Linked DNA regions of Drosophila melanogaster. The protein of the gene in region 1 interacts with the protein of each later gene in a pairwise test. Each region holds a gene or a part of one and is shown in the gene's direction. Other genes may lie near its edges.

Evidence for each region.
Region 2: the proteins of CG9192 (region 1) and CG13031 interact in a two-hybrid assay, tested with the Drosophila melanogaster proteins (one large-scale study listed by BioGRID).
Region 3: the proteins of CG9192 (region 1) and CG14563 interact in a two-hybrid assay, tested with the Drosophila melanogaster proteins (one large-scale study listed by BioGRID).

Annotation. Positions count from the first base shown.
Region 1 is NT_037436.4:1,236,610-1,239,964, reverse strand, and holds CG9192 (uncharacterized protein), read left to right. Parts: upstream 1-1,645; 5' UTR 1,646-1,729; coding exon 1,730-2,665; 3' UTR 2,666-2,832; downstream 2,833-3,355. Other genes in the region: galene, read right to left, coding at 1-146, 211-337, 2,882-3,128, 3,188-3,355.
Region 2 is NT_037436.4:16,722,767-16,725,943, forward strand, and holds CG13031 (uncharacterized protein), read left to right. Parts: upstream 1-2,094; 5' UTR 2,095-2,124; coding exon 2,125-2,136; exon of another isoform or gene 2,137-2,191; coding exon 2,192-2,548; 3' UTR 2,549-2,609; downstream 2,610-3,177. Other genes in the region: Dab (disabled), read left to right, coding at 1-575; CG13026 (uncharacterized protein), read right to left, coding at 2,941-3,177.
Region 3 is NT_037436.4:21,841,183-21,844,332, reverse strand, and holds CG14563 (uncharacterized protein), read left to right. Parts: upstream 1-1,946; 5' UTR 1,947-1,977; coding exon 1,978-2,275; intron 2,276-2,355; coding exon 2,356-2,426; 3' UTR 2,427-2,525; downstream 2,526-3,150.

The DNA of each region.
Region 1 (3,355 bases):
TCATCTTCATGGAGCGCCGGAACGAGGGCGGCGGCTGGGATCGGGCATGGCGCTGAGAGCGCATCGATCTCTGCCGGGATCGGGCATTCCTCGGACGTTTGGCCGTGCGGGTGCACACATAGCAGCATATTCTCCAGTACAGAAACCTATATTGGAATATATGTATGAAAACATACTCATTTAGTTCTCAGCTCATCGATGTCAACTCACCGAAATGATGTGGCCATGACATCGCCAATGTTGGACAAGCAGATGAGCATCAGCGGAATGCCCACAATGGCGTAGAAAATCGTTGTCACCTTGCCCCAATCCGTACGCGGCGATATGTGACCATAGCCTGTCCAGAGAATGACAAGGAACACATAATTACTCTTTCGCAGATAGGTAAGATTGATTTTGAGTCACCTTTCACCTTCAACCTCGTGACCGCAAAGTTCTTGAAATACTAATGAATCTAAGACCCGCTAAGGCCCAATCCCCAATCCATATGTACTTCTTTTTGTTCATGCCAAGCCCATTATCGCTTCGAAATAGCAAACATGGCATTTCAAGTCTGCCGCTTTTGGCCTTTACGGAAGTGTGCAAATTCGTAGATAGCATTCTGTGCCCCTCTTCGCGGGGTTCTATCTGATGGGCGTCGGTCACTAAACCCATTTGTGTGCTAGCCGTAAATCCATATCGGGGAAAAGTGCAGACGAAAAGCGTAAAACTAAGCTCCCATCATCAACAGCCAGAGCTAATAAACTGATTTATACCAAATACTTCCACTCGAAAGCCGAAAAGTTGAATGCTCTAAGTGGGTTAAAGTGAAAAAGGTTTCTGTATACTTTTAAAGTAGGAGAGTTTATAGAGTTCTTGGGGTTTGCTTAAGGCCTTCGATTGAAAACCTTCCATGCACCACTTCCCCTTTTATGAGTAATCACTAATCACCAACACCCCCTGTGTGTTAGGGTATACTAATAATGAGAAATTCCCATCGTTAAAATCTAAAAATCTGAAATGCCAGAAAAGATAATCACGATCGGTCAGTGGCGTTTGACCTTGCTGTTGTTTTGACCACAAACAATTGGATGGCAGCAATCCACTTTTGGTTTCATTTGACACGCTCCACACACCCTCGCTCCCTTTGAAAGCCATCACCACCCGAATGAACCCATTTTTAGAGGTCAACCACGTGCTGGCTGCTCACCTGACTGTGTCCGAGCTGAATCTTTGACTTGTGACTCCCGCCCTGCAAAGGAAGCAAGCATATGTTTTCCAACTCATGGAAATTCCCAGGAATAAGCTTTTAGGTCGATCGGTGGTGGTCAATTACCGTGATTTATGCGATTTCAACGTGATCGCTGTGTGGACAAAACCAATTGTCCGACTCATCCGCTTGCCTCATTGGTTCCTGGGCGGATTGCGGTCTGGTCGCGCTTCAGGTGAATCAACGTGGGCCAAGACTTGGGCCACAGATCTCTGAAGATTTCTGTCTGGCACGATCGTTGATTCATTGGTCGGGCAGCCGCCGAATGCGAATACCTGCGGCTGCCCTCGTCGCTTGACTGAGTTTGTGCGTCGTCATCGCCGCTGATGTCTCTGGCGGTTGTATTTGTTTTTTGGTTCTCGGGTGCGGTTATATAAGTAGTGTGTGCCGGTCGCATTTTCGAACTATTCTGTTGCGGGAGCTTGCCGCGATCAAGCGCAAAAATCGGGTCAGTGTGTAATCGAACAAAGCGTGCCAATCATGCCAAGCTATTGCCTCATCATCGTCCTATGCCTTCTTGGATCAGTGGCGGCTAAGTCTTCGGATGGAGATCGAGATCAGTGGGTCTGGAGGTCCTACAATCGCAGGGAGCGCTCTTTTCGGGACATCAATCGCAGTTCCCCCATAAGGAACTCGTACGACGAAAAGCTGAGGCGGGAGCCCACGACTCGAAGACCTTTTCCGGGCGAACCGGAGAATGATGAGATAGAGGACTATGCCGATGTGGAGCCCACCAGGTCATCGGACACTCCCAACGTAGGCACCCGTCAGTTTAATCCATACGGTGGTCAGACCAATGCCGGACAGTTCGGAGGACTTGGAGGCTATAACGGAAACCCCGGAGTGCTAGTCGGACCTGGCGGACCCACCGGAATCATAGGGAGACCGCAGCTATACCCCACTCCCTATCAGCCAGGCTATGGTGGATTCTCTGGAGCTCAAAATGGCATTAGTGGATATCCAGGCGGATACGGAGGAGTAGGACAGGGACTTCCCGGAGCTGGATTCCCCGGAGCCAGCGTGGGTGGTGGGTTTAACAACTTCCCCAGTAATGGACTTGGCCTCAACCAATTTCCTGGCAATGGGCAATACCCTTACGGCTCCTATCCAGGTGGCGACTTCGGTGGAAGCCAATTCGCGGGCGCAGGTGCCCAGTTCCCAGGATTGGGACAGTACCCAGCAAACCAACAGTTCGGTGGACCTCAGTACACCGAGGGCTATGGTCTGGCAGGAGGACTGGGCTTAGGTCAACTTGGAGTAGGCAACGGTGGACTCGGATACGGTGGAAGTTTTCCACCTCTAGGAGGAGGCTTCGGCTATGACGAGAAATCGCCAGCTGTGGCCGATGGTAAGAGTGCTAAGAGTGTGGCAGCGTCACCCAGAAAAGTGAATGATAAGCTCAGTAAGAAGGTCTAGAGCTTCGTGTTTTAGAAGTGGAAGGTGTTATGTTAAAGATATGGAACTGAAGCTATTACTTTCCCACTCAACCCTCCTTTTTCCCTTAGGCTGAGTTGGAAGTAGTCACCTTAGTGTAGGCATAGTTTACGTATAGACTAAGCAAATAAATTCCCATGTTTACTCACACATGACTTTGAAGAACTCAATCCATAAGCTTAAAAAAAACATACTCACCTATGGTCGTTATCACAATAATCGAGTAGAACAGGGATCCGGCAAAGGTCCACTGGGACTTGCGCAGATCCTCGTCGCCATCCCAGCCGTCGGCCTTGATGGCCGTAAGGATTTGCTTTTCAAAATTGGCCAGGTGCTTGCTGACATTGGCCATCCAATCGCTTTCCCTTAGGACCACTGCGTCGTCGGACAGTAGCCAGATATTCTCCGTGAGATTAACGCGAAGATTCTGTATGTCTCGCTTCACCTGCATGGGGATTTTGGATTTTTAGCATTTGAGACCTTCCAGCAAAATCACCCACTCACCTCTAGTTCGTGGGGTCGTTCGAGATGCTGGAAGAGGTAGGCACCGCCCACGCAATAGGAAACCACGAGAAGCACGAGCAGCACATGGGACACAATGCAGGTGAGCACCTTCCACGAGAAGCAGATGGCAGCTACACAGCGTCCGCGTTGCGGCTTCGCTGGCTCCAA
Region 2 (3,177 bases), about 15 Mb from region 1:
TTAATCAGAGCTCTCCGCCGCCGGCGCCAGCAGGTACCGCCTCCAGTTGCAATTCCACGCCGGCGGGTCCAGTTTCGGCAAATGCGAACAACGGCGGATCGAAGAGCCTGTTCCGCTTCTCCAATGATTTTTCGGATCGCGAGAAACGGGAGCAGTTTGAGATGGATACACCGCCAACCTCAACACCACCAATTACGCAAAAACTGCGATTTGACGATAATGTTAAGGTCTCCCAATTCGATGATGCTGCCTTTGAGGATGACTTCGCCAAGGCATCATTCGATTTTGAAAAGGAACAAGCGGGTTCTGCCACAGCAGGTGCCGGAGGATCTGGTGCTATGAGCAGGAAGCAAAATATGCGAACCAGCAAGCTGCAGCAGCGCCAGGAGCTCATCAAGAAATCCGAGTCGGTAAACATATTTGCCAAAAAGCAGGAGGATCCCTTCGAGGATGACGAGTTCTTTAAATCACCAGACCAGGAACAGGCCATGGATCAGCACAATGATGACACTGAGGGCGGCAAATTTCAGTGGAGCGAGGACGCGAACTTTGCAAAGTTCGATGAAAACATGTGATTTGACCAACTGTTTGCCAAGGCATCGGGGCAGCGACCGGATCCGGACATCGATAACCACAACTATGCGGAGATCGATGTGGTCAACGACACGGACTTTTCATTTCTGGCCAATCTCAATCACTACTATCAGCAGCAGCGACTGCACAGCCTGCGACAGAGCTTGAATCGCCATGTTTACTGCAACTTGCCAGTCCAGCAGTTGCAGGAGCAAGTGAATCAGCCGATGAAGAAATCCATCGCCACATCTACAAGTCCCTGGCATGAGCCAAAGGTCAAGTCGAAGCCGCTGCAGCAGCTGCTGAGGAAGCCGAAAAAGTGGAAACTCAAGCGCACCCTAGATGACTTTCTAAAGTGTCTGATTATTGCGTCCTCGGAGCATGTGTACGATTATGATGTGCTGTGGTAGGATTGGCGGATTGGGAAGATGAGGAGCAGTCTTAGAGAAGAGAGAGAAATAAAGAAACCATACGATATTTAATTCGCCACATATATCTAGTCAACTCAATCGCCATTTAAACTTGCAATATCGTAACACTCCAACGAGGACTGTAGAGTTCCCTCTTACTCCCAGTTCTGCCCAAGCCAAAACATCACACAGCTCTGATCCTATTCCAAAGCCAGATTGTATATATAGATTTATCCAGCAGTCGATTCCAAGCAAGCCATAGAGAAAACTTAAACGAGAACAAGTGTTTGTTAAAGCTACTCCCCACTCGTCAAATAACGAAATACTCACGCCCCCGCCCCGAATCATCAATCGATCCGCAAATCGAAAGCAACTAATTAATTGCCTATGCTAGATGTCGTCTATTCCATATATATCGAATTATCCAAAGTGCAACCATTGTGCTAGCATACAATACCACATATATTCCTAGGGTACGTTTATGTTTTTGCATACTACAAGCATAATTTGTATGATTGTTTGATTACATAGTTAACTAACGACTAATTAGTTTAATTCCACGGCAATGTGTTTTTATGATTTGACTATATATTATACATAACTATATATTTATACGTAACTGAACAAGCAACTGAAACTGAACGATCAAGTAACTCCCAAACAGCTAAATAATATACGATAATTATACATACGAACCTATTCTTATACATATATATGTAATGCAATTATACGAATACGATAGTTATTGTCAAGTCCCTTTGTGTAGGGGATGTAAAAATTGGTTTTTGTCCCGTCATTTTGTTCTATTAATTAAACTGTGAGAAGCATATTACAAATGGTTTCATTTATTTGGACAAGTCAAGTCGTTTCCAAACTTTTGATTACTGAATTTTGTGTGGCAACATACATAGCCAACATATATAGCCATATCGGATCGTATGCAAATGGGTGGCGGTTGGCTGCTCTGCCAGCACCTGCCATTTAGGCCGCTTTTGGAGCCAAGTGTTTGACAATTTGGAGCGCCAATTAGCCAGGCCAGCTGTGGTCTTCTACGCCCACAATAACTATAAAACCTTTGAGTCGATCCAAGCCAATGCATATTCAGTTTTTGGATCTTGTGGCAGCAGCAATCTCTTTTGAAATGCAGCAAATGGTAAGCAAATTCTTTGGCAAGGATTTTGTAAGATTTGGCTCTTTTCTGTTTTCAGTTGATTCTCGTATCCCTGGGACTGCTGGCCAGTGTGGCAGCCAAGCCAGCTGTGGATCCAGCACTGTTTCCTTCGGCCTCTACTTTCGGACTCTATCCAGGATCAGGTGGACCTTTTGCTGGCGCCTATGCTGCTGGTCCCTTTGCTGGCGCTCCTTTGGTTAATCCTTTGGGTGCATCTCCCCTGGCCGTATCCAGCAGCCAGCGCTTGGACTACTTTAACCAGTTTAATGCCGCCTTTGCTCCGACTGCTCCTGCCCGCATCCTGGCTACTGCTCCATTCCCTGCAACTGGCGCCCGACTCATTCAGCCAACTCGTTTCCTTGCTCCTGCAGTGGCAGCACCATTTTTCTTTTAGAAAGCATTGAAATTGTTCCTTATTTTGTCGTGTTATTCAAAAATAAAAGTACAAGTTGGTTAACCACAATCATTGTGTCACTATTAAGTCGGTATATGGCTAAACTGTTGCTTTTTTGGCGACGTGCCAAGTACAGTGTATACAGGTGTGATATTCCTTAATAACAAATAATCGAATTGAATGAGCATGTTCAATAAATGGACAAAGAAACATTTATTTATAATATCGAGATTGTCTCTCTATATATATATATATATATTTTATACAATTTGTTGTATGAATCTAATATGAAATAAGTTTTTGATTAAATTTGTCATATATATCATAATATAATATCATTTGGTATCGAGTGTTATCACAATGTATTAAAGGTAGGCTATGTCCGTTGCAGATCACCAGACACCCTTGTAACCATATCCAACGTTATAAGTGGGATAGTAGTAGGGATAGGTGTACGGATAGGTGGTGGCGTATGGGTAATTGTAGGCGGGATACGCCGGATAGCCACCGCTGTACTTAACATAGGTGTTGGGATAAGTGGCCACCGTGGCGGGGGGCACGAAAACTCGATTCCAGTTTCGAGTGACAAACTGATGGCTGGTGGCCACGGGAACCAGGCGAGGAACAGT
Region 3 (3,150 bases), about 21 Mb from region 1:
TGCTGCTGCATCAAATTTTTAATTAATTACACGTAAGAATGCTGAAAAATTGATGGCTACAAGGAGGTTTCTTTCGTTTCGGACAAACAATTAGCATTTTACTGTCCCAAATATGATGCGAAAGTATGAGGGTAAATGAATGAAAAGTTTGTAGAAGTTTTGTAAGGGATAGCTTTCAATTTTTCCATCGGAAAGTGGGGACGGGAGTTAGGCTCGGCATAGACAAACTTTTTAATATGAAAATTGCTCGTTTGGGGTTTGGAAAATTAAGTCCTTAAATTGGGGACTGGGGAAGCGTACCCTTTCTAGAATGTTAACTTTCAAGGAGGCATTTTTAATGTCGAGAGATAGAATTTCAAAGTCGTAATATAACCATAATTTCCTTCTTATAAATAAAACTTACAGACACACATTTTTTTTAAGAATATAAGGCGTGTTCACTATGCATTATATGTAATATTATTTTGGGTCATTGTAAAATATATTATTATTTGATAATAGTTTTAAGCTTAATTTATTTGCACAAGATCTCAATTACAATCTTTTTATGAAACCCTTTTAAATAGTACACAAATTACCAAGCCGAATTTATGAGCAAGTCACTCGGCTCAAACAACTGAGGCTACTTTAATATAGGGTGTCCCGAAATCCGTGCACATCCAGGCTTGAGCATGCGTAGTCGGCATCCGGCCGGAGCAACTCACTCAACTACTGGAGGTCAGCGGGAATGCAACACCTACGAGGCTCAAACCTACCTGAGCTACCTGGAGTAGTGCGGCAAAGAAGAGAGAGTCAGAAACCACCCCGGCAGAGAGAGTGAGAGAGAGAGAGAGTGAGTGAGCGGGCGGCGGAAGGCAAACGTCAGCTGCATGGGAACCCAAAGGCGGGACAATTCCAATTGTGACATTTTGCATTGTTGGCCAGTGTAATGACACACACCTACACGAACACGAATGAGTTGGGTACGGGAAAGGCCTTAAATATTTATGAATGGCATGTTGTATACTTTTCGGGCACATATGCAAGAGCTACAAAGTGTATTGAGAACAATTCCTTGCAATTGCCCACGACTTGCGTTTTTCACATTTTTAAAAGCTTATTTACTATGCGAGATGTGTAAACCCACCGTATCTAACATCACTAAATTACTAAGTTGTAAGCCTACTTTCATAGCCAAGAAGAATAAATTAATCTATAAGTACATTGAACTTTCCATTATGCAGTTCTCAAGTATCACTTTCCAAACCGACAGATTCGCATTGTGGAATAGTTTCAGCGTCGATGCATGACCACCAAGGCCAAAATTCTGTAGCCAAAAGTCCCTCAAACTGAACTCTCGGCCAACGACCAAGCTGATCGCAGTGGAAAATCCGAAAACCAATACGATTCCAATTATCAGAATCGGAGTTATTACGGTTGACCTCATCCGAAGGGCGTGAATGAGCATTGACCACGGTCCAGGTCGGCAATGAACCTCAAAGAAGTGGAAAGCACCACTGGCATCGCACATGACTAGGCGGACCATCAACCAATTTTAAGGTTAATGACTGTGTTTACGCAGAATAAATGTGAACCCCTGGCAAAAAAAGCGGCTGACTGACTAATTTAAATTGATAGCAAAACGGCAATCACAAATCAGACGAGATGTGGGATGAGTAATCGCGGCGATAGGCAAAAAAGAGCCAAATAGTTTTGTTTTGTTTTGTTCTCTTGTTGTTAACTTGCACTAAATACATACGTTTGCAGAGCGTTTATATTGGGATTTAAAAATATTGCGTATACGCCGGCTGGGTTACGCACGAACGAGCAAACCGAGCAGCCGCTGATGGGCGCCCGATTAAGCTCCATTAAAAAAGCGTTTTATGCTTTAAAATTGCAAACATTCGGCGGCAAACTCTATAAAATCAGTTAATGCCGGGGTTTTTGCATTCAGTCAACGTTCGAGGATTACACACGATAAACATGGCCAGAAAAATCATGTCAGTGAAACAGTCGAGCCGCTCTCCATGTTGTTGGTTCGGTTTGCTCCTGGTCGCCATTTTCCTGCAGCCATCCGCGAGCCAATACTACGGTTATCCCTATTACGGCGGCGCTAATGCGGGAGCGGGATCGGGATACGGGAACATATACGGCAGCGGCATGTACGGATACCCCTACAGCTACGGCGGATATCCGTACTACTCGTATCCCGGCTACAACCCGTACTCGATGTACGGTGGATACGGGCAGTACGGATACCCCTATGGAGGATATCCCTACGGCGGCAATGGCATGAGTGAGTTTCCCGACTGATAGCACCTCGGTGCCTAGCACACAAGTAATCTACAAGTGTTTTGGACCTGTTTCTTCCTCTAGACGTGGCCTACGCCAGCAGCAGTGGAGGATTCGCAACAGCCAGTGCGGGTGGAAGCGGATACTACGGCTAGGAAGCGCGAAACCTGATATAGTTTAGTGATAGGTATACGGTTAAGTCATCCTACCCCATAAGTGTGTTAGTGCTAATAAATATGATATTTATGTTCTATAAGTCAAGACTTATTCTTATGACGTGTCCAAAACTAGTGTACCTGGTAAAAAATTGTACACCTAACTAGTGCCTTCATGTATACCACCATAATTTTATTAGCTCCCGGAACTGATGTGATAATTTGTATGTCTTTTAGCACATTTGACCCTATGTATGTTCCGCCAAGTTTATGCTGCCATGACTCTTTGTGGGATCATTAGATCCTTTTCTCAGCTTTTAGCTTTGAGTCAATAACTACGTACGCATATCTGGTCGTTTTAATAGTTATAAAAAAGCCTTGAGGCTGTGATCCCATATATAACCATATACCGAAAAATATTTTTTGCTTCGTGATAACAAATCGACAAAGTTTGATCCATGTGCATTCTTGGCGCCTTATCGATAGCTATGGACAGTGTTGTAAGGTGCACGATAGTAAGGGGGGCAAAATTGTATCGGTCTGCCGATAGTTCCCGGCCGTTAGCCAAGTCCAAATTCGACCGACCGACCAATAGTCTCGCAAAACACAAAACAAAGGCACACCACACTTCGTGCTCTCGCCGAATTCCGCCGCCGTCGCCTGAAACTCACACAAAGTAAGCCCGAAATCAGTGGAAAAGCGCCGAATAGTCGAATTGCAGGTT